Linked DNA regions of Diceros bicornis minor. The protein of the gene in region 4 purifies or fractionates together with the protein of the main gene of each other region. This does not show direct contact. Links are inferred from orthologs where the notes say so. Each region holds a gene or a part of one and is shown on either strand. Other genes may lie near its edges. The genes, in order: SIRT6, CBX3, TOP2A and CHD4.

Region 1 (7,340 bases), on a different chromosome or scaffold from region 4:
TTCCTGGAGGAGGCCGAGCTGTCTCTTGAATTGTTCGAGGGAGGAGCGGGGCAGTTCAGACACAAGGGGTGAGCAGAGGCCTGGGGGGCGGGCGACAGCCTGTGAGTTTGGGGAAATGCAAGTTTGGGGAAATCCAGGGCTGGGTCACTTAAGGCTTCCATTGCCAGCCCGAGCTGCTTGGAGCTCTCCTATGTGGCAATGGGGAGCCGTGGCGGGTTATGGGAGAGGGGGGTGAGATTCACACCTTAGAATTCTAACATTCCTCCACGAACGAGGAATCTGCTCTCCTGCTGCGATGGTCTGGGCCGGGGGCCTGAGGGGCCTTGGAAGAGAGTACAAATGCAATAGGCCTGCATTATGAGACAGGGTTGCAAACTCAGCCCCTACAGGGGCCGCGCAGGGGCCGGCAGTTTGAGACCCCTGCTTTGCAGCAACAAGACCCTTATCTGACACAGGCTGCTGAAGCAGAGTGGGGTTTAGACATTACCTAGTCTCACGTCCTCATTTACAGGTGAGGAAACTGAGGTCCAGACAGTTAAGCCACTTGCCAGACCCCAGGTCTGACAGAAAAATATTTGCAAGTGAGTGTGGAGCTCATTGTCCCTGATGTCGATTTTCCCCATCTTCGAGGGTCATAAACCCTCAATATTTACCCATGCACAGCGAGCCTAGAAGAAAGACTACATTTCCCAGCATCCCTTGCAGCTAGGTATGGTCAGGTGACCAAGTTCCAGCCAATGGGTGTGCATGGAATGTTGGGTGTGACTTAAAGGGACATGTCTGAAAGAGAGGGGTCTTTCCCATCCCCAACTTGCCAGGGGGCTCACTCAGGACTCAGACAGGGGGAGGCAGCAGGGTGGGTTCCAATGCCCAGGGATCTGTAGCTCACAGGGGAGCCCTTGGCTGTGCAGCGGGCCCTGCCTCGACTTCCCCTCCATGCCCACAGACCTGAAGTCAGGGATGCCAGAGGCGGTGCTGATGCCCGCGCCCGTGTGGAACACCACATTGGAGGACTGCCAGACCAGCTTCGCCAGCTCCCACACCTTCCGCTCCAGCTCCTCAGGGGGGTCGAAGATCTGCCGTCGGGGAGAGCAGAAGGGAGGGGTCCAAACGTGTTCCATGGTGGCAGGACCCCTTGCCACAGACCGAGCTGCCCCTGCCTTGCCCAGGGGGAGGAGAATGCATCCGAAAAGGCAGCTTGACATGTGTCCCTCCTCTGCCCACAGCCCTCCAGGGCTCCCACCTCCCTCGAGGCAGAAGCCCACGTCCTCCCTGTGGCCCCCCAGGCCCTGCACGACCTATCCTCCCCCCTCCTCTCTCCCTCTGCTCCAGCCACACGGGCCTCCTCACTGTTCCTCCAACACGCCAGGCATGGTCCTGCCCCAGGGCCTTTGCATGGGCTGTTCCCTCTGCCCAGAACCCTCTTTCCCCTCAGATACCCACTAGACTCCCTCCCTCACCTTCTTTAGGTCTTGGCTCAAAAGTCATCTCATTTGCACAGCCATGTTCATAGCAGCATTATTCACAATAGCTAAAACGTGGAAGCAAACTAAGTGTCCATCGACAGATGAATGGATAAACACAATGGAAGCCATCCACACACTGGAATATCACTCAGCCTTGAAAAGGAAGGAGGTTCTGACACCTGCTACAACATGGGTGGACCCTGAGGACATGACACTCAGTGACATGAGCCAGACACAGAAGGACAGACACTGTGTGATCCCCTCACAGGAGGCCCCTAGAGGAGTCACAGCCACAGAGACAGAAAGTGGATGGTGGGGCCAGGGGCTGGGGGAGGGGAGGGGAGTCAGTGTTTCATGGGACAGAGTTTAAGTGTGGGAAGACGGAAGGTTCTGGAGACGGACGGGGGGGATGGTTGTACAACCATGTGAATGTGCTTCATGCCACTGAAATGGACACTTAAAAATGGTGAAGATGGTAAATTTCACGTTATGTGTATTTTACCACAATAAAAAAAATTGGGAAAATAAAAGTCAACTCCACGATGCCTCCCAGACCACCTGGTTTCCATGCAGCAAGCCCTCTCCTCCTCACTCCCAGCTTCACTCCCTAGCACTTCCCACCCTCTGACTTCCGATATTTCCTTGTTCCTTGTGGGTGTCCCTGCTAGAATGAGAGGTTTCTGTCTGTCTTGTTCCCTGCTGTGGCCCCAGGGCCTAGACACTGCACGGTGCACAGTCGGTGCTCAATAAATGTTTGTGGAATAAAGTGAATAAGCGGCAGGAGAGAAGAGTGGGGCTTCAGGAGGGATTCGCACTGTCTGAGAGCTCATTCAATGTCTGACTGGGAATGAACGGACCAGCCTTTATGGGACGGGGGCATCTTCCCCCCAGTTTACAGAAGGGGAAGTGACTCACCCGAGGTCTCAGTGTATGGAAGGGACTTCCTCTGGGAGTGGCTGGAGGGGTCTTTCTGACTTACATCCTCCAGGTCCCTCCCCAGCTCAAAACCCTTCCCCATCACCCTCGGGACAGGGTCATCTCCCCAGCCTGGCATTTGAGGCCCGTCCTGGCCTGGCTCTGGAAACCTCTCTGGTGTAATCTTTTCTCCAAAATGTGTTTATTCCCACCTCCCTGCCTCTGCCCTCTGCAGTGCCTTCCGCCCGCACCTACGTCCCCTGCTCCCCCATCAGAACTTCAGGACTTCCCCGACGCGGGTCTTTCCCTCTGTCCCAGCCCGGCCCACCCGGAGCTGGGCGTGTCCGCGGCCCCGGGCGCGCAGGGGGCGTCACTTCCCGCCCCCTCCTCACTGGGAAGTCCCTCCCATGGTCTAGCCTCAGTGCCTCCTGATATTCCCACAATGCCCCGCTGCCGCCCGGCCCCGCCCAGCCCGCGGCCCTGGGGGCGGCCTTCCGGACCCCCCGCCGCGCTCACCTCGGGAAGGCCGCACTTGCCCTTGTCCGCGTAAGGCGACAGCCCCGCCGCGTAATTCACCGACATCCTTGCCGCCCCAACGGGAACAATAAAGTTTCCCTTGTTGAGGCCGCTTCCGCCGGAAACGGGGCGGGACGGGGAGGAGAGAGGGGGAGCCGCATCCCCGTCCTACGTGCCCGGCCTCTCCCTTCAGGGCGCATGCGCGTCGCGATGACGCCGCAGGCGCCATCTTAACTGCTGGCAAAAGAAGCTTGCCTCCTTATCTGCGCTTGCAGAAGGCGGGAAACTGGGGCGGCCGCCCAAGTGGGAGTTCTCTGATCACCTCTAAGATGAGGGGCACGGCAATCGGTGCCCCCGATCCCTTGTTTTACAAATGGGTAAACTGATGCCCCCCTCCTGCCTCTTCTTGAGGACAGAGCCAGGGAGAAGGGACCCAGGACTCGTGCTTCCGGTCCAAAGTTCTTTCCGCTGCACATTTCAGAAGTTTATAAAGTTACAAATGCAGGGTATCTGCGCCGGGGTGGGGAGCGGGCAGGAATTTGGGACCTCATATTATCCAGACGGATGGTCATCTCCACTTGACTCATTTAAGAAACACGTACTGAACACCTACTGTGTGCTGGGGAGACACCGGAGAACAAAGGTGTCGCTTTGTGGCTAGAGGGTGGACATGAACAGGTGACCGCGCAATGGTGACTTAGTGTGATCGGGCTGCAATGAGGGACACAGAGGGCACCGGGCAATGAGGGAGCTCAGAGGGGGCACTTGACCCAGCCTGGGGACATCCGGGAAGGCTTCCTGGAGGAGGGGACGTTGCAGCAAAGATCTGAAGAGTGAGTAGGAGTGAAATGAGGAGAAAGAGCCGGTTGGGGGTGAACCGGGGTACAGAAAGAGTGCTCCTGGTGGAGGGAACAGCAGGTGCAAAGGCTGGGAGGGGAGGAAGAGCGTGGCTCATTCCAGAAACTGAAATCGGTCCAGCGATGTTAGGGAAGAAGGTTGGTGTCTTCCCGCCAGAGCCCGTTGGCACAGGCAGCTCCGCTGCCAGCCTGTCTCCTCCCTCAGCTCATCCCTGGTCCCCTGGGGCGGCCGCCCTCTCAGAGCCGATCGGGTGTCAGAGCTGAGCGCTCCGAGCTGCTGATGTGAGCCGGTAGCCCAGCTGGGAGCGAGTAACCAGAGCTGGCAGTGGCACGGTGGCCTGGTGCCGGAGTCACTGGAGCTGCAGGAGGTAGGCGAGGAGGGAGGTGAGGGAGGCCTGGGCTGGAGGCTCCCCTTAGGGCCTCGGGCTCCTCGCCCCTGAGCCTTGGTGTGTGGGAGAAAGGAGAGGCCGTGTGTGTCCCAGACACGCTGAGGAGTCACCCAGGCACCTGGGTTCGCGCGAGCGCACACACACTGGTTCATGCACGCGCCTCCCGCTTCCCGGCCTTGGCCCTGTCTAGGGGACATAGCCTCTTTTCCTGCTGCTGCCGTGAAATATCCTGCCTGGCTGTCAGGCCCTGCTTGTAGATCATCATCTCTTCCAGGAAGCAGCCCCCCAGATGAGGGCATCCTCCCTTCCCTCAAGCCCGTGGATTCCCTTTTGCCCAGGCAACCTGTGGACTCCTCTCTTGGGTGTCTTATTACACACTGCTCTGGGTGTGATTGAGTCTTTTAAACAGGGGTAAAGAAAAAAGATGGGGTGGGTGGTGAGTGAATGGGTACTTTGGTGGAGGGGTGAATGAATGGATGGGCAGTCGATGGATGGGTAGGGAGACGCAAGAGTGGATGGGTGATGAGAGGGCGGGTGGATGAATGGGTGGGTGGATGGTAAGTAGATGGGTCTGTGGGTAGCGGATGAAGGATGCATGGGTGAGTAGGTGGGTGGATATTGGATGGATGGATAGATGGGCAGGTGGATGGGTGGGTGGATACTGGATGGATGGATGGGTGTGTGGATGGTGAGTGGATGGTGAGTGGATATTGGGTGGATGGATGGGGGGTAGATGGTGAGTGGATGGTGGGTGGATATTGGGTGGATGGTGGGTGGATATTGGGTGGATGGATGGGGGTGGATGGTGAGTGGATGGTGGGTGGATATTGGATGGATGGATGGAGGGTGGATGGTGAGTGGGTGGTGGGTGGATACTGGATGGATGGATGGATGGGTAGAGGGTGGATGGTGGGTGGATATTGGATGGATGGTGGGTGGATGTTGGGTGGATGGATGGATGGGTAGAGGGTGGATGGTGGGTGGATATTGGGTGGATGGATGGAGGGTGGATGGTGGGTGGATGTTGGGTGGATGGATGGATGGGTAGAGGGTGGATGGTGGGTGGATGTTGGATGGATGGATGGGGGGTGGATGGTGAGTGGATGGTGGGTGGATATTGGGTGGATGGATGGGTGGGTGGATGGTGGGTGGATATTGGGTGGATGGATGGATGGGGGGTGGATGGTGAGTGGGTGGTGGGTGGGTATTGGGTGGATGGGTGAGTGGGTGGATGGTGAGTGGATGGTGGGTGGATATTGGGTGGGTGGATGGGTGGGTGGATGGTGAGTGGATGGTGGGTGGATATTGGATGGATGGGTGGGTAGAGGGTGGATGGTGGGTAGATGGTGGATGAAGCATGGTTGAAGGTGCATGAAGAGCCATGAGAAGCTGAGTTGAGTGGGTGAGCTGGTGGGTGGTGGCCAGCGGGGATGTGCAAGTGCTTGTACAGGAGGATGGATGCACAGATGAGTGGATGCGTGGGTAGACAGGTGGAAGGATGGCTTGGGGAATTCATGTGCAGATGGACAGATGATGGACACACCTTCACAGAAATCCCGCTCAGAACAGGAAAGACTCTCTAGCCACACACCTAGCAAAACATCCCCTTGAGATATCCCTGCCTGATCTCCATACCCGCACATGCACGGAACATGTAACAGGCCAAGGTGGACAGATGTGGGTGCACACACACCCCTCATGCTGGCATGTGTGCATACATGCACACAGCCATCACCCCAGACCTCCACCCCCCTTGGGTGCCTTGCCTCCATGCTCTCACTCATGCAGACGCCAGCCTCATGTAAGGGGACTCAGCTGCGAGGATGTTGTTCTCCAATTCCCCAAGAAACATGCCTTTGTGCTAAGAGGCCTCAGCTCTGGGCCTGGCCCCCCAGGAGCCCCTCACTGTTCTGGAAGACAGAACCAGCCCAGACGCTTCCAGCCTATGAAGCTGGGGCTGGGGCAGAAGAAGGGACCCATCCGGGGCTGGGGGAACCCAATTTGCGGAGTTAGAGCTCAGCCTGTGCATGACAGGCAAAGCTGATCAGAAAATGGGATTTTGGAACCGGGCTGTGAAGGATAAATAGGAGTTCACCAGAGAAGAAGAAGACAAAAAAAAAAAAGCAGAAATAACTGCACAGATAAAAGCTCGGAGACCAGAAAAACCTTGATCTGCTTGGGCACCAAGGAATACTAGTGAGGTGCACTTATTGAGCACGTACTGTTTGTCAGGCTCTATGCTAGGGACTTCACTGAAAACTGATCATGAGTTGGTCAAGAGGGGGTTATCTCCCTCATTTTAAGGATGAGGGAAGTGAAGCTCAGAGAGGGCAAGTGACCTGCCGAAGGACACACAGCAGTTAGGAGATGGGGGCAGGTCTGTGTCCTGCTCTAGCGGCTGGAATGACCCAGGGAAGAAGCAGCGATCCTTCTGAGGAGGGGGAGGCAGCCAACCCTCCTGCCCACCAGGACTGATACCCCTCACCCCCTGCCCTTCCCCAGGTGGCCTGGGGAGAGGAGAAACGCCGGACGCTGGCCATGAAGACTCTCCGGGCACGATTTAAGAAGACAGAGGTGAGTCTGAGGCCACCGAGATGCCCAGTGTCCCCTAACTTCAGGCTCCCATCTCCCAGGGCCTGGCTGAAGATCCACTGGGGCCTTCGAGCCGTTGTCCCTTCGACGGTTCCTCGCCACCCACAGGTTCAAGTTGAAGCCTTTAGCCTCTGGCCACATCCTCATCCTTTCGTCTCTACCGCCCCCTGCTGCCCTGGTCTTCCCACTGCTTCCTCTTCAAGCTCTCGCACCACCAAAGCTTTGCCCAGGCTGTTTCCTCCACCTGGAACGCCCTCTCCCCGCTTTGCTGCCCCTCAAACCACCCCCCGCCCCCGTCTTCCTCCCAATTCAGCTCCAACAACACTTCTTCCGGAAGATCTCTGCTCTCCCCAGCTACAGTGACCGCTTGCTTTTCTAAGGGCCCACTTTCTCCAGGACCCGGATCTCTTGCTTTCGAGTTAGCAAATATTTGTATCAGGCGCTGTTCTGGGCACAGAGGAATGAGCAGTGAGTAGGGCAGACAAACCTCTGCCCTTGTGGAGCTGATAGCGAGTGGGAGAGATGGGCAAGATAAATAAGTGAAAAGGCATATTTTGTGCCGTGGAGACCAAAAAAGCGAGGAGAGGGAATGGGATTGTCTGGGT
Region 2 (7,521 bases), on a different chromosome or scaffold from region 4:
TAGATACACAGCATCTAGTTAGTTCTTCCAAAAACTACATTCTAATTTTCAGTGGGACAGAATTTTCTTCACATTTATTGCACAAAGAAATTATATTTTGCTCACCTCTCTTGCAACAGCACGTTTGGGCTCAACCACTCTCCCATCAATTGAATGAGGTCTTGCAGCCATGGCAGCATCAACCTCAGCCATAGATGAAAAAGTTACAAAACCAAATCCTCTTGATCTTTTGCTTGCAGGATCTCTCATTACCTATACGACCAAAGGGGAAACGTTAGCATTTGATCTCATTACTTGTGTTATGAACTAGCAGTACGAATTGATGGCTGATTTAAGTGATTTTTTCCACAACTCACTTAACATTTTAAAAACAGAAGCTCAACAGCTGAAGGACTACTATCTGTAGGCACTTTTACATTTAACGTACCACACAATCTGTAAGTTTTCCCCATTGCTCATAGTAGTTCCTCAAACTTTCTTCTGTGGTTTCAAAGCTCAAGCCACCAATAAAGAGTTTACGGAACTGTTCCTTTTCTCTCTGCAAAGGAAAACACCATTTCAATTTTTATTTACATTTTCTCTTTGTATGCAGGAAATTAAATTCTTAAATATGAGGTGACCTGCTGGCAGAGTACCTTTTTCCTCTCCAAAGGAACAGTTTCTAAAGTTTTCTGGGGGGGAAAAAAAAAACTTACATCAAATTTAAACCATATGTTAAACTGCATATTAGTTGTGTTACACCAAAAAAATTGCCTCAGCTGAACTACACAAGTTTCAAAGTCATTAATGCTTGATCTAAATTTACTTGACATTAAATTATTTCAAACAAATTTATTATCACTTATTTTTAAAAATACTTTCTGAAGAGAAAGAAGCAAATCTACTCCCTGGTCATTGAAGGGTTAAAGGATTCTCATCAAAATTAGCATTCAATCCTATATCCCACAGAGAAGTTAAAGTTAACTTTTAAAAGCTCAGTTGAAATCTTTTTTTTAAACATAAAAACTGTTGGTTCCTTACTTATAACTCATAGTTTACCATTTACTTCTGGATTCAGTATATCTGAAAAGTGACATTTTCCCCTCATTGCTCCCTCTGGTGGTGATTCTAATGCATCTCATCAAAAAAAAAAAAACCCCCTGGTAAAGATCATTCTTTCCCATACACCAACTCTCGATTAGGGAAAAAAATTCAAACCTTCAGTATATGCTCCAAAACATCCTTAAAATTTACCTCTCTTCTGACCAAGGCAGACTTTTTTAATGACCGTTGGTGTCTAAAGCTTCAAGTTTTAACATAACTGACTTTTTGTGGGCACCCCCATGTTTGGTTATTTAAATGACAGTACAGAAACAATCCGATTATTGGACCAATAACCATAAATACAATGAATGTAATCATTTTCTCCCAAAAACCACAAAAACGTTTAAATGACCACTGTGACTATTCAGTAGTTACATATTTAACTATCATTTACACTTCAATTCATTTACCAAAAAACCCGAAACCTCAAGTGTATTTAACTTAGTGGCCACCTGGCAAACTACACAAGTTACATCTAATTTCACAAATAAAAAAGAAAAAAGGCTAGGCTGAAATTTTTTAATCCCTATAAACCAGCAAGCAATTATGTTGCATTAATAGCCCTGTATTTGGGACTCTCAGTTAAAGAATGCATCATTATAATTTCCAGGTGACTAGGTTAAAAAATTAAAAATATTCAGAAACCCAATAAATCATAACGTCCAGGACAATCTGCTGTAAGTGTATAATACAAATTAAAATGTAAAATATAATTTTCAATACAACAGGCGATAACTTATTCCCAGCAAATAGCATTACAGCTCTCAACCCACAGTTCTATGGAGGTTTCTCCTTCAACGCATGATATTCTCCCAACAGCTCAAAAAATACAGCGATAAGAAACAATTTACAGATTTTCTTCCTACATAGTTAACTATTTTCAGGATTCTGAAAAATTTTAAAAGATTAACAAACTATTAAACTAGCTCCCGAGATGTTTACTTAAAACTACCAAAATGGTTAATTATACGGCATATTGATATTTGGATTCTTCACTTTACACCAAATACTGTCAGTAAACACGTCTTTTAAAACCCAAATTACGGAAATTTTAAAAAGCACATCTACAACAATTTTTACACATCACCAACAAAAGGCAAAAACTCATTACTTACCTCTGCTTTTTCCAAACTTACCCGATGTCCACTATCGATTACAAACAAAGTTATTTTTTAAGCGTGCTTAGGGTCAAAGAAAATACTCAGGTAGACCCCCTTCGCTTGAGACCTTATGCTTATCAATGTAATGATCAACCACGATTGCAAACATAAATGAGAAAAGTGACAAAGTTCAAATACAGAGCGGCCTAGCCTAACACAGTTCTGTATACAGCAATACACGCACTGAAGGACTGAGCCATGTTTTAACCGAAGTACCACTAAGAATAAACTCAATTTTTTTCTTCACTCTCCTCAAAATTTCTAACATCATTTACAAGGATCCGTAGTCTTATCCAGTAAAGATCACATTTCCCAGAAAAAATAGTATTTAAAAAAGGAATAAATTCTACCATTCTAAGGGAATCCTTCAGGAAAAAGTCCCCCCCACCTCCTTCCCCGCTGCCACCCACGCAGTCGGTAGTAATCTGACGGTTCCAAATTCTGACTTATTTCTCAAGTTTCCTGCGATTCAACTGTCTTTTTCATCACTGCAGGCCCAAACAAAACCGTTACTCAAAGAAACAGGACTGGAAAACAAAATGTCTTCTTTGTACGATGGCTCGCTTGAAACCGGCCCCCCACCCTCGCTCGCTTTACCTCCTCGGACGCCGCGCGCCCGGGCCCCGGAGGAACCCCCCCGCCCGCTGCTCGCTGCGGCTTCTGGACGCAATGGCGCCATTTCATCGAGGGGAAGGGAGGGAGCCTCTAACGAGGTGCGCAGGACTTTAAAGATCCAAGCTCACAAAACCCTCGGAATCCACCTCGAAACGGCATGAAAACAGCCCAAGAAGAAAGAAAATTAGTTAACCACTTCTCTTCTTCGGTAAAAGAATCAAACTAGCAGAATTCAGAGGTCGAAAAGAAAAATGCTGCGAGGAAGGAGAGAAATGAAAATGGCGGCCGCCAAATCCGGTTCCCGGGAGAGAGGGGGAGGGGAAGCTCCGCAGCCTCGCTCACGCGGACCCGAAACTCGCCGAAACGCTCAAACGGGGGCCGCCGGGGCCCCCCAATCGGCGTGCTTCACGAGGGGAGTAAGAATTGCCGCCTCGGCGCTCCGCTTTCACTACCGCGGGCCGCGTCCGCCATGTGGAAGTTCCCCATCCCCCACCCCCAGCAAAGGGAAATGGCGCCGGGAGGCTGAGGGTGGGGAAGGTGCTGTACAATCAGGCCTCCGCTAACAGCCCTCTTCGAAAATATCCTGCGACCAACCGCTTCTTAAGTGGCCCGATTTCACTGCCGCTCTCCGTCGGAGGCGGGGGGGCCGACTTCCACCGAGGCGCCAACGGCCTCGCCATGCCCTTTCCAATAACTCATTGATTTCAAACCCGTTACCTCCATCGCGGACTCAGTCGCTTCAGCCCGATTTCCCGCAGCCGAGCGAGATGAGAGAGATCTCCGCGGACGAACACGGACCGGACTCGTCCTGGCGCTGTAGTGAGAACTGCCGCTGCTCGAGAAACAACACCGCTAAGAGCACCTCCGCACAAGACCCGGCGTTGCTGCTACTGCCGCTAGAGCCGCTGCCGCCGCTTTTCTAGAACCTTCCCCCCGACTAACGCGTCTTCCCCTACGTCAGGCCGTTGCGTAAACGCCCTAACCGCCGCCAATGGCGGGAACGCTCTACCTCCTCCTTACGCCAAGTACGTACTCCTCCCCCCCTTGCGGCCAGCGGTGGTGCTTGACGTCACTTGCGTAAATGGGCTCAGTGAATTGCGGAAGGCGCGAGTCCTGCGTATTTCTCTCTCTCCGAATTGGGTCCAGCCCCCGCCTTAGCGCAGGGCAGGTAAGAAACGGTCGCGCAGTTTGAAATGAACGCTGCCGGGAGGAGCTTAATCCGCAGCTCTCAGGTCCAGCCCCCTCAGCCCAGGAGGTGGTCCCTGCAGCAACGCCGTTGATAATCCGCCCCCCCTCGCCCCCGTTCTCCCGCCTTAAAAATCTTTGTAGCCTCCCCCCTGCGTTTTCCCTCCCCCACCCCCTTCCCCTGCGCCGAGGACTGACTCGGCCCCTTCCGGAAACACCCGAAGCGACTGTAGTCAACAAATTACACTTCACCCTCCACCAACCTAACCCTGGCCGACGTCTTTGGGACTGACCCCTCGGGTTCAGAAAAGGTCTTTGCAGAGGGTGGTCCGAAAGGGGCACTCTTTCTCAGTGTCCGATTCCCCCCACCCAAATTTATCTTCATCCTCTCACCCCCAACGTTTGGAGGCACGCACCCCCAGGGGCGAGGAAGTGGGCGGAGTCCGGTTTTGGCGCCAGCGGCTGCTGCTGCGAAGCAAAAACGCCTCCGCCGAGAGGACTCTGGACAGCGTCCTCGCCCCTCCTTCCCTCTTCCTCCCCTCCGGGGACCACCAGGCGCCACGCCGCGAACGGTAAGTGCCGCTGTCGCCACCGCTCTCCCCCCCGCCCCCTGGGCCCGGGCTCCCGGCGGGCGCGGCGCCGCGCGGCCCCTCCCCCCCGCCGGGCGCGCGCCCCCTGCCCCGCCCCTGGCGGCCGCCCGGCGTGGGCGGTGCCACCCTCCCCCCCCCCCGGCGGCCGCCCCGCGCGCTGCTCCCCAGCCCCCTCCCCCTCGGATGTGGCTGGAGCTGGAGGCGCGCAGGGCCGGAGACGCTGCAGACCCGGGACGCGGAGCAGCTCGGAGGCGGTGAAGTCGGTGTCTTTCTTTCTCTCTAGTTCTCACTCGGTGGTGGCGCTTAACATACCACATGCGCCCCAGCTCCCCACCCCCTGGCCCCTGCTTCCCGTCCGACCCCGAGTCGGGAGCTGGTGGGAAGGAGCGGAGAGGCGAGCGGAGACCCCGCGGCGGGCCTGGCGCTGCGCCGACGCCTGTAGTTAAGTGGGGGACGAGACTGTCCCCGAGAAGGTGGAGAGTCGTGGCGACAGTCGCCTTATTTCTAGACAAAGCGCATTTTCCTCTCCCCTCCCCCATCCCGGATCACGATGAGGGGCCCTCCTCCCCCTCCCGGGCTTGGCCGGCGACTGGGGCCTCCAGGGAGGGCGGTGCATTCTCCCGCATCCGCGCGGCCAGCTTCCTGGAGGCTGCGGCGGGCGCTCCGTTATGTGGCCGCCGCCGGGGGCGAGGCGCGAGCCTCGTGGCGCAGTGCCCTTGAGCCCCCGCGCGCGGCCTTTGTTTCTCCCCGCGGATGCGCTGACCACGAGGCCCGCGCTCCCGGGTGGGGGGCGGGCGCCCGGCGTTTAGGCCGCATTCAGCAGGGTGGGGCCTGGGGCTTGGGAGCATATGGACGTACCGAAGAGGTGACTTGTTTTCAAAAGTGGCACGAAATGGGCCTGAAGCATCTCAGTGTGTTTTTCTTTTAGTGTTTTAACTAGTGATTGGGAAGAGGGAGGGTTTCTAAGAAGAAACCAAGTTGGGATTACATAGGCGACTCTTTGGACTGTTAAGAGGTCTCGACGAAAAATTCACGGTAGTTTAGGAAATTGTCCGATTTTGAACCAAAATATTTGGCCATTTTGTAAAGAATACTGAATATGTATAAATGGCATTTGAATTGAAAAAACATATTTGTCTACTGTTTTTCGGCCAGCGAAGCTGTTTCAAGTCCCAATGACCTCAGTAAGGTTTTCTAGACTCGCTGTTAGAACACTGATATATTCTCAGGCATATTCTCTCTAATAATTTACGCAGGAGCTTAAATCTGCTTTTGTATGGATTTGTATACATGTTTGATAATATGGGCTACATAGGTGGGGGTTGGAATCCAAACAAAACTTGTATTTAGCTACCTTTTTTGTGTCGTGCAAACTTCCTTTTAACTGTCATGCGTTTTTCTAGTAATAGCTCTTCAAGTCTGCAATAAAAAATGGCCTCCAATAAAACTACATTGGTAAGTTAATGAAAACCTGAAATATGTAAGGATCTAACTCAAAATTTTTTCCCCAAAAATTATAACTTTGCGTCTCTGTGGTTCAGAAATTTACATCTATATGTATTCCCCAGTCCCTTCTCTCCCCAGTGTTGTTATGGGGAGAATTAGGGGCCAAAACGAAGTCGTTACATTGAGATATTTACTGACTTGCCTGGATAGTGTTTTAATTCATTGAAAGAAACCTAATCTTGGGAGGATAGCGCAATGTGAATTTTAATGAGTATTTTTATCTTGAAATACAAATGCACAAATTTATGTAACATGAAAGAATATGTTACAAGCATAGAGAAAGCAGTAAAGTCTTGTTGATTGGCATAATATTTTCTAAATCACTGTACTGAATTCTAGAGAAAGCAAGTATTTTCAGTATTGCCCAGTGTCAAAAACAGGCACCTTGTACACTTAGATTGGGGCAGAAAGTGAATCTTCCAAATTACTTTCATCACGTTGTCATATTTCAGACTTGCTTATTCTAAAGTCAGACGGGCCTTAAAATTAAATAATTGCAGTGTTCTGGTAATACACAAAATGAACACAATCATGTATGTCCAGGAAGGAGAAAAGACTCGATCTTTCAAGCAATTTTTGGTCTCTAGCAGTTTCTTAAATCCAAAGTTTGCATTCTCAGGCTTCATTACAAGTTCTGCAAATGTGTAAAAGCCATGTCAAGTTAGAAGTTTAAAAAAAACACGAAATTCAGTTACGGTTCCCACAGTATTTAATTCTAACACTGCGTTAATAATAATCGAAAGCATATAAAGGTGAGTGTTAATATCTAAATAAAGCAAAACATTTGGTTTTAGTTTGTATTGTCTGTTGGGTTTCACAATTAAAAGGGCAAGTTGGTGATTTTAATTTGTGCCATCATAGGTTTGCCCATTTAAGTCAAATTTCCTGGGAAACAAAAACAACTATAAAGCCTATGTGGTGAGTCTCTGTGGCACAAATGGTTCCATCAAAGCCATCAGTGGGAAAAGCTCTTAGCATGTTCTGTGCCCCCTCAGGATGGAAGTGTCCTTCAAATTCCATAATCAGTAAAGGAAAGTAGAGATAATAAATTGATTTTATGAACACCTGTGTTCAAGTATTGGTGGGGAAGGGAACTAGCTGTTCATGAGGCTTTGAGGATGAGTATAGATACAGAAAGCAAGCAAATAGATGATTCCATTAAAATTAAGTTGCTTTTGCATATAATTTGATAGTTTTCAATGTCTGTAACTTACTGGTATTTAAATATTCTTTTGTAGGGGATCACATATTGACAACTTTAAAAGTTTTTATTTGACTTTTCATTTTAAAATAGTGTTGTGAGATGTGTGCTATAATTTAAATGGTAAAGTGAATGAATTTTCTTTTGAAAAGAAACAAATGAGCCCTTGAAATTAGCTTGA
Region 3 (7,605 bases), on a different chromosome or scaffold from region 4:
GGCTGCCTAGACTTCAGTTTAGAGGTGAGGAAACCGAGACCCAGAGAGAGGAGGAGATTTATCTAAAGTCATGCAAATAGTGGCTACAGAGCTGGGCTAGGACTTCCCACCACAACACACTGTCCCTCAGTTTGGAGTTTTTCTAGAGTCCTCACCATTGGGTTCACTTAAACTGCCAGTTCCCCCATTTTATTGAAAATCTATCTCTAGCTACAAAACATAGTCTCACACAAACTTGTGCAGACAGGTATGCCTTGCCTTCAGTGAGGTGGGGAAAAGGGACACAGGTGAGAAGAGTATAGGGTATGGATGAAAACCGACACTTAGAAAGTCACATATTGGCAAAAGGTAGTGGACACAGAGAATTATCAAGACCCACAATTACTGAGAGAAATTTTTTAAATTTTGTATATTTAAGCTAACTTTTTACATTATAAAAATACTACATGTCTATAATGTTAAATTTTTCAAATAGAAGAGAAAATATGAAAAGTTTTCCTCCTCCTCCAACTATTTACAATTCCTTCCAGATGTTTTCACTGAATACATAAACATTTACTCTAATGCAATTATGCTCTACATTCTATTCTTCACCTCACTTTTTTTAAACTTAACAATATATCTTAGTGATATTTCCATATCAGTATATCTAGATCAACTTCATTCTCTTTAATAGCTGCATGTCTTTCCATTCCATTAGATTGCTGCCAGTTCTTTTCTAATAAAAAACAATATTGCAATAAATAACCTTGTGTGTGTGTATATATATATCTTTACACAATTGTGGGAGTGTATCAATATTCCTATAAGTTAAATTGCTGAGTCAAAAAGTGTGTACACTTTTAAAATTTTGATAGATACTGGACTGCCAGACTGCTGAGGGAAACACCTGATTGGACTTGTTGGGGACAAATCCCTGGTCCTGAGCTGATCCCTGCTAGAACTTCCCTTGCTCTCCTCCTAGCTCTGTCTGGTGGCCCTCAATGTCCCTTTACCTGGGGCCACTAGTGATCTGAGGAGCAGACCTGCAATGCCACTAGCAGAGAGAGGCTGAGCTCTATGGGACATTTTGGGTTTTCTTGGCCTCCTCCAACCAGAGGCTGGTATCCCTAGTAAAGAGGACTGATCAGACCCTGCCAGTCATTAACCTCAAGGTAAACAGGGCCTATTGGCAGAGCCCTAACCACCCCAGTACCCTGGCGCTGGCCCAGCCTCATTCAGGAATTTCCAGTGAGTTCCAGCCTAGCCAGCTCCATCCCCCAAATCCAGAGCCACACTTTCAGCCCAGCCGCCTTTGCTCAGTCAGCCCGCAGGAGGGAAGAAACACTGCCCTTTCAAAGGGAGCTCCCAGGTGGAAGATGGAGACACAATTCCTTCAGGACCCCCCTTCCCCTGACACAGAGTGGAGAGACAGGAAACACAACATTTATCAAAGGAACTCATCTGCGTATGCAAATATACTCCGAAGGACTTGAGGGGGCCTCAGTAAAAAAGATGGTCTGAGAAGACTCCCTGGACAGGGGAATTTTGAGTCGGTTTTGGAGGAAAGAACTTGGAGAATTGACAGGGGAGTGGGAGGAAGGTCTTGAAAAGTAGAGGTAATAACTGCTAACATGTTTTGAGCACTTACAACTCGCCAAGCAATGCACTAAGCACTTTACATGTGTTATCTCACCCTGTGTGGAGGTACTCATTATCCTCATTTTAGATGAAGAAATGAAGGCACGGAAAGACTCAGTGACTTGCCCAGGGTCATACATTTACCAAGTATTGTAGTCAAGAGTCTGACCCAAGTACTACTGAACTTGGCCCCTACGAGTGGGGGCAGGGATGGGGACAAGGTCCAGAGTAGCTAGTTTGGGCCCCTGCAGAGTTGGCGGAAAGTGGGAGGGGCCGGGGATAACGAGGATGATGGCTGCCCCTTCTCCCCACCACAGCCCCTGGAACTGACTCCCGACCCCTTCTTGCCTTCCAGCACTAGCAAATGGCAGTCACCTGGAATTCCCTCTTTGTAGACAATGCCTCCCAGGTCCGCCCATCCCAGACTTCCTTCAGTGGCCCCCTACAAGTCCTGCAGGACTCCCTGTGATAGGCTCTGGAAAGGAGGAGAGGCTGACAGAGAAATAGCTTGTGTTCCCCCACAAGAGAAGGGCCCTCCAATCATCCCACACACATACACACACCAAGGACATTCTGTGCTAGAGGTCTGGAAGATTGTTCTGGGTGCTTCCATATTTCATTTAGCCCTCTATACCTTTGATAAAGGCTAATGACATGGGGAAACTGAAGCTCAGGGAGATTTCTGACTTAGACATATGTGACTCAAAGTCCTTTTGACTCCACAGTTCTGCTTCTGGGTTTTTGGAACAGAGACCCACACAGTCAGGATCAGGCTAAACTGCAGGGGAGATTTCAAGCTGGGTCCCAGGAAATAGGGCTGGTGCTGCTTATTAAATTCCTGTTGCCTCATCCCCAGACAGATCTCGCAGGGTGCTGCAGGCTGGGATGAGCTATAGGGTGGGAAGCCAAGGGAGGCAGAGGCTGGACTGCCATCCTTGGGGAAGCAGGCCCACCCTCCCCTACCACCTGGGGCCTCTGTGTTCCAGGAGGTAGAAGGCAGCACAGCTGGTCTCTGACTATCAGGGTCATCCTCTGTCCTGGGAAAGCTGCAGAGAGTGACAGGCTGGCCCTGGAGCCCAGGGCCTGGTCAGCCTTCTGATGGGCAGACGCTACTGGATGGGCTTCCCTACAGCTGCTCTGAGACCCTGGTGGTCCTGTGCATTGAGACTGCCTTCCCCTATCAACACATGTGATGAGCAGAGTGGAGCTGAAGACACTCAGGAATTACTGGAGGCCAGGAGAACCAGAGGACAGGGACCAGAGCAATGCCAAAGCTCCATTCCTTTGGTTTTCCCAATTACCCTAGCCAGTGGGCTACTTCCATCCTTGACTACCTGTCACAACACACCACCTCTGCCCTGGCCCTCCCTGGGGCTCTGCCAGCAGAGTGGGCATTGAACATGCTGGAGTGATTCAGTAATTGGTTGACCTCTGATTTCTTTTATTTATTTATTTATTTATTGCTGAGGAAGATTTGCCCTGAGCTAACATCTGCTGCCAATCTTTCCCTTTTTTTTCCTTTTTTATGTGAGCTGCCGCCACAGCACGGCTTCTAACAGACAAGTGGTGTGTGTCCACGTCCAGGAACCAAACCTGGACCACAGAAGCGGAGGGTGCAGAACTTAACCACTAGGCCACCGGGGCCGGCCCTGATTTCTTTGAGAAGAAAAAAAAAGAATTAAGTCCACAAATTGTCACGGTAACCTAAGGAAAAATCCCTGCTTCCTGATTCTGATACTGTTAGCCCACTATTCTAAATGTCTTACATGTATCTTGTGTAATCCTCACGCAACTCTGAGGTGATACTGTTATTTTTATTTCCTTTTTTTAGCAGAAGAAAGGAAAGCACCAAGAAGCTGCCTCCGTCAAGATCACACGGCTGGCAAAATGCCAGGCCAGGATTAAAACTCACGGAATAGTGATTGGAAGGAGGTGGTTCAGATGGTCAAATTATGCGGTTATTTTTTCCAGCATCTTGTAAGAGCGTGTTTTTTTTTTGGGGGGGGGGTCATTTGAACACTGTGGATTGACGAGGACAGAATAACCCCCCTCGAAATTTACACGTCAGAGTAATAAAAAACTTCGGTCTTTGGCATTTCCTCGTCAAATCTCAACCGCTGTTCTGGACCGCAGAATTCAGGGACTTGAACACAGAGGAGAGCAAAAGTAACGCATGGTAGGGCATCCTATTGGCAGTCTGAGGGGAAAGTTCCAGTCCTAGAACGGCCGCTAAACCATCCTTAGCTCCTGAGGCGGTGACTATAAATTATTCCTTTTAATTGAGCAGTTGCAGCCCAACGCCCCTCTACTGGGGGACTTGAATGCTGCTCTCTATTTTGCGCGGCCTCTCTACACCCTTCTTTATACGAAAACTAAAAACCACAACTGTAGCACTTTTGTTTCTCTAAAAACACGCTAAATTCTTGGGGGGGAGGGGAGGTTGAGGAAAAGGTCAGATCCTGTTCGCTTAACCAAATCGCCAGGAAGCCGGCGCTCGGTTTCCTCAGGAAAATGGAGATAGCGCTCCCGTTCCTCTCACTAAAAACCTCAGGCCGGAGGACGGCGTTTAGATTTCAGGGATCTGAAACAAGTTAGCAGCTCCTGGGGAATAAACATCCGTCTCCTTCCTCTTTTCACCCCAGCCTGCACCTCAGAAAACCCCTTCCCGCTTCCACAGTTTGTCTCTTCAGAGTTTTCTGCTCTGAGAGAACAAACGAGCCCTCCTCATTGGCCAGATTCCCTGTCGGTCTCTCAGCAATTGACTCCGAGTGGTGTCTTTTGAAACCTCCTAGTCCCGCCTCCCCTGCCTAATTGGTTCATTCGACTGGGCCAACTCAGCCGTTCATTGGTAGATATAAAAGACTAGCTACGATTGGTTCTTCGGGACGGAACCGGTGAGACCGAGTCAGGGATTGGCTTATCTGGTTTGGGCGGGCAGGAGGATGGTTCAAATGGGACTGCAGGAGCTCGCCTAACCGACGCGCGTCTGTGGAGAAGCCGCTGGCTCCGGGGTCGTCTCGTGCGTCCCGCCGGTTTAGTCTCTTGCAGGGTTCTCGAGCCCCTTCCCGACCGTCACCATGGAGGTGTCACCACTGCAGGTACAGCTCGCGGAAGAGGCGGGTCGTGGAGCGGTATCTCTGGCTGCCGGTGAGGGGTGAGGCTCCTGGGCTGTGGCCAGGCCGCGGTGGGCTGGGAGCCGGTATTCCGTGTCGACCGTGGTCTCCCGGGCTCGGCGTGATCGTGAGGAAAGTGAAACCCCCTTATGGTGCTAATGTTGAAGCATTAGCGGCTAAACGGGCCCCTAGGGCGTTGTGTCTTGTGTTACTGTTTTTAAGGACAGGATTCACTTGGTCCTCTAGTAGATCTGAATTACAATGGACCGCGTGTGACTTGAAGCTGCGCATACCAATGCTTTCCTCTCCTACCCTCCGCTTGAATAGGGCGTTGAATGTCTCTGACCTTGGAGGGTGCAGAGCACGGCACAATATTCCCCTTAAGGAGCCGGCAGGCCCGAGTTGCTCAAAATATGTCCTTCCAGTGTTCAAAACGTTAACTTGGCCAGAGGATTGAATCGATAGCCTCCCAAACGGCTGCTGAACTGGAATCTGTTAGTGCCTGGGACGTGGGAGGCACTTAGTAAATATTTGTGGCACAGGTGAAAGAAGTGGGTGTATTTTATTGATAAATAAAAAGTTCCGAGGAAAATATTTCCATGTCAAATACACTTGGTGAGATCATATGTGTCTATTCAAACTGCCACCTGGGGACCTGGCTGCAGTTACCTTAAAAGGCCGTGTTTGCACAAAACAATGTAAACGTCGCCAATACCTACTGACAGATTGCAATTTGTTGTAGTGTGTGCAAGCATATCATTACGGTAGACGTTTCGTTTATAGTTTCTGATAAACCTATGATTAAAAATCTCTTTTCTTCAATTTTTTTTAATTGCTAGCCCGTAAATGAAAATATGCAAATCAACAAAACAAAGAAAAATGAAGATGCTAAGAAAAGACTGTCCGTTGAAAGAATCTATCAAAAGAAAACGCAGTTGGAACATATTTTGCTCCGCCCAGACACCTACATTGGCTCTGTGGAATTAGTGACCCAGGTAAAACCAAGCTAATGACATGCAGTTAGTAAGTAGTTAAAATGTATACTTTGCCAGGTTAATTTTCTACACTTCATGTACTTTGAGTGTCACTGGAACTGGCCTAAGCTATCATATATATATTGTAGTATTTACCCCAGAACACTTTATAGTAATCATGATGATAAAACAATAAACATAGGGTAAAAATGACTATATTTCTTTGCCTTATTTCTAGCAAATGTGGGTTTACGATGAAGATGTTGGCATTAACTATAGGGAAGTCACTTTTGTTCCTGGATTATACAAAATCTTTGATGAGATTCTAGGTGAGTAGATTCTTTCGTATAAAGATCTACCAGTCAAATCCTTCATAAAAAATATTCCTTACTGTAGCCAGACCTTCTGTTATTTCAAACAATAGTTGGCAAAGGTGAGACAGTCTACTGAAGTCTAGGAAGTTGAATTCTGTTCTAAGAACAGTACTCTGAATAAAAATTGCTGAATTAACACCTCATTAATGCTACTCCTGTGCTATTTGAGATTCTTCTTTCTATATCTTAGAGTTAAAGAATGTTTTTTTAAATACTTTAATTTCTTACAAATGTGTATTTTATTTTCTTTCAGTCAATGCTGCAGACAACAAACAAAGGGACCCAAAAATGTCTTGTATTAGAGTCACGATTGACCCGTAAGTCTCTTGGTCTTTTGTTTGTTATAGCTCATTGTTACTGTTAGTTGCATTTACTTGATTTTTAATGAGGTTGGCTTTTTTAATTTTATTTTTTATTTTATTTATTTATTTATTCCCCCCGCCCCCCAAAGCCCCAGTAGATAGTTGTATGTCATAGCTGCACATCCTTCCAGTTGCTGTATGTGGGACACGGCCTCAGCATGGCCGGAGAAGCGGTGCGTCAGTGCGCGCCCGGGATCTGAACCCAGGCCGCCAGCAGCGGAGCGCGCGCACTTAACCGCTAAGCCACGGGGCCGGCCCGAGGTTGGCTTTTTTTAAATGAAAGTTTGCAAAAGCACAGAAAGGCTAAATGCTAAAATGGACAATCTACGATACCTACCACCTAGTTTCAACAGTTATCAACACTCTGCTATATTTGCCCCATCTATATTTTTTCTGAAGCATTTAAAAATATATTACAGACATTATCCCACATCATCCCTAAATACTTCAGTAAGCATCTCCAATAATTGCTGTAAGTATTCTGGGGTCTAGATCTTTTTCTCCTGATGCTATTCAAATAGTAAACCAGCAGGTGGTGACAGAATAATTTGATCTAATGTTTCAGCTTATAAATATTGGGTGTCCTTTTGTGCGTGGTCAGCATCCTTGTTTCACCTTTTTATTGGCCTGATCAATTATAACATAAACTATACTTAAGGCTTTTTTTGGGAAATGTAGGTGTTAATGATGTACTTAAATGCTCTTAAGGACTCGATATCATTGTCTTAAAAAATAATGAGCTAGTTTTAGTCTTTTTTATAGATAATACTAAGTACTACTTAGAATAAGAACCATTTTATATATTATCTTCTGAAAATTAACTTAAAATAAGAGATGAATAAGTCCAAGTAAATGTTTAGCATTTTATTGGCAAGCAGGGAAGGTTACAGTTGATAATGTTTTTCCCTTTCATATTTGTTTTGCAATGTGCTTTGTAGGATGGAAAAGCTAGGGGAGCCAGGACAGTACAGATGATCCTCCTAAAAGCGGTATAATAATATTGTTTCCAAATTTTGTCCTTTTCTTTCCATTGGGCATAAATCATTTCCCTTTGTTTATCCCAACATTTTAAAACTTCATATTTTTTCAACATTATCAGTGTCTACCCAGATGTTGGAAAACGTTTAAGTTTTTCTCCTTTTGGCTCCTATTTCAGGAGTGG
Region 4 (7,201 bases):
ATGAGGCTTGACAAAGCACCGTCAGCTTCCCCCCCACTCAGCCTAGGATCAGGCAGGGCACAAGAAAGCCCCTCCCATTCCCTTGGGAATGAACACCAGCCTGGATCTCACCAGCAAGAATCATTTTCTTAAGGGCTTCTCCCCAGCAATCCCCATGTCGCTCCCCCCAGTCAGCTACATCTCTTGGTTCTTCCTCTTCATCACCTCCATAAAAGCTGGAAGTGGAGACAAAGACAAATACATGGAGGCAAAGGGGACACCCTTCCATCCATATAACACCCCCAAACTTTTCAGGCAGATAATGTGCTCACCTGGCAAGTGGCAAACTGACTGAGGTATAGAGAAAGATTTGGGAAAGGGACAGGAATGGGGTGTGGCAGGTGGAAAAACTGGGTCACGCTACAGCTTGGGGCAGAGTTCACCCTGGGAGCCTGCACAGCTCCCAGTCAACACAGGGGCAGCCCCAGACCAAGGCGCCAATGGGAAGCCAAGATGTGGACCCAACATTGCCTGGACAGCAGTACTACTTCTCATGCTCCCCAGAGAAAAGATAGGATCACACCACCACTACCACCCCACCCCCACCTCAGGCCACAGCACAGAAATTGGCCACCTTGCCCCACAAAAAGATGAGAATCAAGCCTAAATTTCTTATCGAAAGAGTTGAAGACTGAGTAACAAGACTGACCCCTTTCCTAAGTAGCCTTAGATTGAAGTAAAGTCTTCTGACTCAGAAAACGCCAAATGTGGAAACATCTCTCCTAGATCAACTCAACTTGCCATTGGAGCTAAGGAGAGAGGAGCCAGAAGTGAAAGATGTTGGATGGGAAACAAAAGCAGGACCAGCAGGCTCCAGAATGAAAAAAAATATATAAGCAGAGAGGATGAAGAAATGGCATGTAGAAAAAATGAAGCTAGGAAAAAGTGTCAAGAAAACAAGTAGGTGACTTAGCCAGGGGCTCTGAGGAAGGACAGACAGACCAGAGCGAGACATCCACTTAGAAGCATGACATCAATCATCATTTGAGAACAGACAAGGGCTATTCCTATCAGGCAGGGTGTTATAACCATCTGGGTTTGGCCAGTCTAAGGAGCCACCCCAAAACACAGACAGCAAAACCCCCAACACACCTACACAACCACATCACACCACCAGGCCAAACCACAGGCTACCTGCACAGAGGCAGAAGCCTCTAGGAAAGAAAGCCAGGATTACATCCACTTGTTAGGGGAGGAGAGGTGCCAAGGGTGTCACCTGCCTGCCTTTGCCCCTCCTAGTCTATCCTTCAGGCTACTACATCCTACCCCTAGCCCCCAACATTTTCCCACTCAAAACATTCCAGCAATCTGCCTGGCTAAAAGCGCTCTAGATGCCAGCTGAGGAGCGCAATTCAAACTACACACAGTTGAAAAGGCACAGAAAACCAGTAACCGATCAGAAGCTAAAAATAATCAGATAGAGAGTAACCAGCACTCCCTCTTTCCTTTCCACAGCAGCAACCACAGGATGCTACTAGCACCGATGCCTGGCTGGCCTCCTCAAACCCCACCACCAACAACCATCACACAGCCTCCAGGGGTCCCAGATACCTGCATTTCTCCAAGGACCCACACAAGGTAATGCGTGCCAGCCCAGAGAGCTCCCTCAACTGGGAACTGCATAGGATTCCTTAAGACACACAGTGCAGCAAGCTTGCATCCCGATCTGCGGAGCTCAGGAGGCACATGGCTTCCACCCCCCACCCCCTCAAGAGCTCCGCAAAGGCAACCACTCCCTTCGGATGCCCTCCACCTTAGAATGCACAGAGAGAGAGAAACCCTACCTCACCAGAGTACTAGGGAGGGCCCAAATACCTCCTTCCTGTCCTGGGCCCCTGGGGAAGATGTTACCTGGGTGGGGTGGGGGCAGGCTGTTGTTCAAAAGTGCATCCATATCCTCCTCCTCACTGCCCGCCGAGCAGGGGGACGGGGAGCCCAGGCCCGACGCCATCCCCTTCCGCTCCCGGCCAGGGAATTGGCCCAGCTGCTCCTGCCTGCGGCCTGGGGCCCTCTACACTGGCCCGAGTCACTGCGCGGGGGAGGGGGGAAGAAAGAGAGAACAGTCAGTGACGCGCACTGTCCCCCTCCCCCATACCCCCCGCTCTTTCCGCCCACCACCACCCCGCCCCCCCCCCTCCGAGTAGGGCACCCGGGCCACTCAGGCTGAACTTAGTTCCACACTCCTCGGGGGCAGCCCGGAAGCCGGCTCCCCAGCTGGAGCCCCCAGATGAGCAAGAGCGACACCCCCGAGGGCAGGCTGGTGCAGGCAGGGGGCAGGAGAGAAGCCAGGCTGGACTGAGCAGGGTGTGACGGGGGGAGGGGGTCCGAGTGGCCGCAGCGCAGGGGTAGCCGGGGGAGGCGGCAGGCGGCGAGGCGCTCGGGGACACAAGGTCACTTGGGGGTGGGGGGGCGCCTCCGTTCGCCTGGGGAGGGGCCAGTCCCCAGACAGCGCAGCTCTCCAAAGGCTGTCCTCTGGGACAACTCAGGTTCTCCTGAGAAGCCGCGGGGACGAGGGGGCGTGGAGGCTCGGGCGCTCCGGGGGGCTGGAGGCAGGGACGCGGGGGGCGAGAGAGCTCCCACCAGGCAGGGGGCCGGGCCACGTGTCCCGGGGGGCAAGTGAGCAAAGGGCGAGGGGGCGGGCGCCGGGCACTGTGGGAGCCCGAGCCGAGGTGGGAGTCGCGGGGAGCCAGACTCCGGGTTAGGGCGGGGGCGGGGGGAGGGGGCGCCCTGCAGGGAAGGGAAGGATCGGCTCCTGCGGGCAGGGGGCGGTCCGTGGGTCGAGGGACGCCTGAGGAAGGGGTAGGTGGAGGGATGACCCTCGGGACTGGTCGGGCTGAGAGGGGCGTCTCTTTGGGAACCCCGCGCTCTCCTCACCCCGGAGCCGCCGCAGGTCGCGCTGGGTCCGGCCCGGTGTCACTCCCGCTCCGGCTCCTTCTCGCCGCGGCCGAAGGGGGGAAAATGGCTCCGGCTCCGGCGTCGCTTCTTAAAGGGCCCGAAACACCGGCCGGGAAATCCCACCGCACAGGCCCCGCCCCCCCACGGACAGCCCATAATAACCTCAACCAACTTCAACCCCCCCCTCCACTACCGCCACCCTCCTCCCTAGGTCTCCCGGGCAACCCCCGCCCCCTCGTCGCTCAGGCAACCATTGGCCACGCCCCCTTCGAGCGCGCGCGCGCGCGTCACCCGGGCAACCACCCACCTCCTGGCCATCCCATAATACACACGGACACCCCCTACACACTCCATACACAAGTATGCCAAGGCTGTTGACATCTCATAATATTGCAGACCTTTTGCAACTAACTCTTCCCCCCCCAGACATCCCATAATAGCCATCCTTTGCCAACTTCTTCACTCTTGGCCCCAATGCTAACATCCCATAATAATCCGTCACCTCTCCCTCCCCATGGCCATCCCATAATAAGCACCCCTCCCAGCACTTCGGCCTCACATCCCATAATACTCATCCCCATCCCCCATAGACATCCCATAATAACCACTCTTCATCCACCCCCAGTTTGATATCCCATAATAGTCAGAAACTCACCCCCCCACACACACACACACAACGACGGACACTTCGGCCTCCTCCCACACACATCCCGTAATAATCAGTCTCCCACTTTCTATACTGACATCCCATAGTAACCAACCCCCTGGAGCTGCCCTCAGCCCCTGCAGGCTAGGGTCTAGATGCTCACACCACCACCCTCAGCCTTCACACACTCATTCTAGCTCCACAGCCCATGATAACCACTCCTCCCCTATCAAAGAGATATCCCATAATGATCGGCAGCCCTACTGTGACCCTAGATGGACATCTAATCAACTTTCCTCTAACGCTGGAAAGATATCCAGTAATTTTACTCCCCCACCCACACCCTGACATCCCATAATAATTGCAGGGAGCCCATGATCAACCAGACATACCATAATACTCTCAGCACAACCCAGTGTTACATCCCATAATGCTTCATCTCCACTCCACCACCCTTATACCTTTCCAGCCAGGCATCCCATAATATTCATATTCATATCTCCCCCATCTCCAGATGCTGTCAGTCTATTCTAACTGACAGTGTGAAGCAGGCTACCCACACTGCCCTGTCCTTGCCCCAACTTGTACACACCTTCATCCCTTAGTGGGCCAAAGCAGTATCTTGGCATAAAGCCTCTTGATGTCTAGGATGGACCCTTGCTTCCCTCATCCCATCATTTCCAGAGACTTAGGAACTGAGAGTCAACCTTGGGCCCCACCCAATCCTGCCAAAGTCCAGATATTCTCCAGATGCTTACCTCCAGCTCTTAAATTTTAAGTAAGACCAACCAAATACCATGCTGGCCAGATGAGCCACTTACATCAAGTTTACTTCATCCCAGAACATCCCATAATAATTACAAACTCCCATCTAAAGACTATTTCTCAACATTCCAGCAGTCCTCTTTCCACCCACCCCCTCCTCCCCAGGTCAGGTGGTCCTTTCATCAGTACCCCTAGGCCACTCCCATGGATGGACATCCCATCATGATAGGAACTGAGGATCTTGCTATATACACACTAAGAGCCAAGACCTGCCCTCCCTCTTCTTTGCTACTCATGGTCATTCAACAGATGTTGACAGAGTACCTAGCAAGGCACAGAGCTGGGCACCATAGGGAATGCAAGCACCATAGGTACCTCCCTTCAAGAAGCATAAACAACCAAACCAACCATGAGATAGAATGTCTGGTGTCAAGGAAGAATAACTGAGTGCTATTTCCCAATTTTCTGTTATAGAGAATAAAACAAATCCCAACTGGTCTCAGGAGAGATCAGATCCCAGTAGAGGTTCTTGGTGGTTCTTCCAGAGGCTGGAAGGTATTCCAAAAGGATTTACAAGATAGATGGATGGTCAAGATAATCCCCTATCTGTTCCCTACATACTAAGGGATTTTGATCGGAAAGCAATGTTCATCCAGCGTTTCTAATACTTAAATCCTATAGTATCATCATGTGCTTCCTTCTTGAGACTCACCAACATGCCAGAATTGTTATCCTCATTCTTAAACACCAAATTCTGCTTACCCTCAATGTTCTATATTTTTCTCCCACTTTGTTATTCCTGAAGTCTCATGATAATTCCAACTGCCCCCATCCTCATCTTGCTGAGGCACCACTCTACAACGCCCAAAAAACCCTTCATTGTATAATGTTCACCATCTTCCCCTCCCCATGTACAAGTCAACATTCCAGGATGTCTTCTTCATTCAATTATGCCACAAGGTAGCCTCTCAACATATACCATCCCCTTCCCTAACTGCGCCTACCCTGCAGCCGCCCTGGGGACCCAGCCTCAGAAAGTCAGAGAGCCCAATCTTCAAACCTTTTGGCCCTCAGAGAACCTGAGTCCATAAGCCTGACATTTTTCCCTCTTCCTGACCCCCAAAGAAACAGGACCTGAGTGAAAACCAATGTTCCAACACCGCCGCCTTTCTGCATCCTCCCCCACACACAGCCCCCAAGCCAGAGATAATGTCTTCCTCTGCTCTCATGTGCCTTTTCCACACAAGTCCAAGACCTATGGCGTTGGGACAGGTTGAGGAGAAACCAGAACTTCCTCCTAGGAGGGGCCCTTCCCGACCAGAAGTGAGTAGGACGAACCTCACACCATCTCTACATTGCCCTCCTAATCTCACTTCCCTAGAGAAAGAGCCTGGCCAGATGATTCTCCCCTCCTCTGGGAACCAAAGGACTGGAGAACTGGCAAGGAGAAATGAGTTCAGGAAAGACAAGAGTTTGCTTCAGGAAATCACCATCCCTTTGCTTCCAAGCAGAGCACCAGTGATGCTGATAAGTCTTTCCACCAGCTCCTACCTGACTTAATTCCCTAGACCACCCTTTTGCCACATCCATTGTGGCATGCAGGCCACTTCCCCCAGTAAATTCTCTTGACATAAAATCGGTCCCCATTCACTTGTGCAAACCCTCCCCCATGCTTATTCTGAGTACTAAGAATGAACTTTGTGCTCCTCACTTGGGGCAGAGGGGGCAGCTCTTTTAAGATACCACGATGTGGGTATATCTCATTTCAAGAAGCTTCTCTTTGGTATATAGAGCTGCCAGATACCTATTACACCCTTCTCTCTCCCCATTTCTTTAGGGGATCCAGCCTGCCTCTGGGCCTCATATTCCCTTCTATAATATCTCCATCTGCCCCATAGCCTTCTCTTCTCATATATATACACCACATTACTACACTGATTCATGATATAAACCAGGAAGAGAGTTTTAAAACTGGGTAGTCACAGCCTATTGCCTGTGATTACAAACACTGGTAACTTCTGTCCACCCCAGCCCTCTGCCCTATCCCTGCAAGTTCTACCCACTCACTCCCTTGCTCCTCTTATCCCCCTCCTCTCCCTGATACCATCACAGGGAGAAGGTTAAAGTCCTTTCCTCTCTTCTTGAGTTCCAGAGAGGGCTAGCATCTGTGTGTTTGTGTGTTGCTTTTGTGGTCTTTATGCTTCTAGGCTCCCCCTCCCTACCCTGGCCCCATACTACTCTCCCAGATCAATTATAAATAAACCACTAGCATGATTGGTCCACAGAGACTAAGGGTGGGATAATCTCCTGATTAATGCACCCAGGGGGACAACCTCTCTAGCCAGTTACCTTAGAGTTCTGTTTCCATCCCATGGTACAGAAGAACCTAGAATAACACTCAGAGTGGTTTGTCCAGGGAGTTTTCAGCACGTGCTCTATAGTTCCTCTGTCTCCATCTCCAGTCTGTGTGAGCCCCAGAAACTCTGCTCATAGGATGTCTAAGGACCAGCATTCTCTTGCTCTGTCAGAAAAGGGGGTTTGGGAAGACAACCTAGAGCAGAAAAGCCACCGTGACAGTGCACTCTGATGGCTAAACAGGATGCAGGTCATACAGGGCTTGTGGAGTGACCAGACAGGCCTTTGTCCTTCAGGAGCCAACCAAATCTCAGTTCCTTCGGTGTGACTATAAGGTGGCAAAACTCCCCAGGCCCAAGCCCGCCACCAGAGCCATGGTACCAAGGCTCAAATCCAAGAAGGTGAAGAGGGAAGAGAGTATTTGGGTGCTGTGATCACCCAGAAGCCCTGCTCCCTTTGGTGTGCACACAGCCAAAACCCAGGTGTTCTCACTGCCAGCCC

Evidence for each region.
Region 1: the proteins of CHD4 (region 4) and SIRT6 purify together in Homo sapiens (affinity purification with mass spectrometry; 3 studies listed by BioGRID, with this or other methods). This does not show direct contact. The link is inferred for Diceros bicornis minor from reciprocal best matches to the Homo sapiens genes CHD4 and SIRT6.
Region 2: the proteins of CHD4 (region 4) and CBX3 purify together in Homo sapiens (affinity purification with mass spectrometry; 6 studies listed by BioGRID and IntAct, with this or other methods). This does not show direct contact. The link is inferred for Diceros bicornis minor from reciprocal best matches to the Homo sapiens genes CHD4 and CBX3.
Region 3: the proteins of CHD4 (region 4) and TOP2A purify together in Homo sapiens (affinity purification with mass spectrometry; 3 studies listed by BioGRID and IntAct, with this or other methods). This does not show direct contact. The link is inferred for Diceros bicornis minor from reciprocal best matches to the Homo sapiens genes CHD4 and TOP2A.

What each region holds. Positions count from the first base shown.
Region 1 is NW_026691553.1:3,179,590-3,186,929, forward strand, and holds the start of SIRT6 (NAD-dependent protein deacylase sirtuin-6), read right to left. Parts: upstream 3,005-7,340; 5' UTR 2,964-3,004; coding exon 2,898-2,963; intron 2,727-2,897; exon of another isoform or gene 2,382-2,726; intron 1,532-2,381; exon of another isoform or gene 1,461-1,531; intron 1,077-1,460; coding exon 949-1,076; intron 1-948. UniProt on the Homo sapiens protein: NAD-dependent protein deacetylase, deacylase and mono-ADP-ribosyltransferase that plays an essential role in DNA damage repair, telomere maintenance, metabolic homeostasis, inflammation, tumorigenesis and aging.
Region 2 is NC_080742.1:51,188,061-51,195,581, forward strand, and holds the start of CBX3 (chromobox protein homolog 3), read left to right. Parts: upstream 1-4,511; 5' UTR 4,512-4,615; intron 4,616-4,798; exon of another isoform or gene 4,799-4,892; intron 4,893-6,036; 5' UTR 6,037-6,064; coding exon 6,065-6,088; intron 6,089-7,521. Other genes in the region: HNRNPA2B1 (heterogeneous nuclear ribonucleoproteins A2/B1), read right to left, coding at 106-252, 428-538, 636-671, 3,576-3,581.
Region 3 is NC_080757.1:39,912,631-39,920,235, reverse strand, and holds the start of TOP2A (DNA topoisomerase 2-alpha), read left to right. Parts: upstream 1-4,601; 5' UTR 4,602-4,697; coding exon 4,698-4,718; intron 4,719-5,572; coding exon 5,573-5,728; intron 5,729-5,945; coding exon 5,946-6,036; intron 6,037-6,334; coding exon 6,335-6,398; intron 6,399-7,605. UniProt on the Homo sapiens protein: Key decatenating enzyme that alters DNA topology by binding to two double-stranded DNA molecules, generating a double-stranded break in one of the strands, passing the intact strand through the broken strand, and religating the broken strand.
Region 4 is NC_080756.1:55,090,253-55,097,453, reverse strand, and holds the start of CHD4 (chromodomain-helicase-DNA-binding protein 4), read right to left. Parts: upstream 3,014-7,201; 5' UTR 2,914-3,013; intron 2,069-2,913; 5' UTR 1,991-2,068; coding exon 1,891-1,990; intron 1-1,890. UniProt on the Homo sapiens protein: ATP-dependent chromatin-remodeling factor that binds and distorts nucleosomal DNA. Acts as a component of the histone deacetylase NuRD complex which participates in the remodeling of chromatin.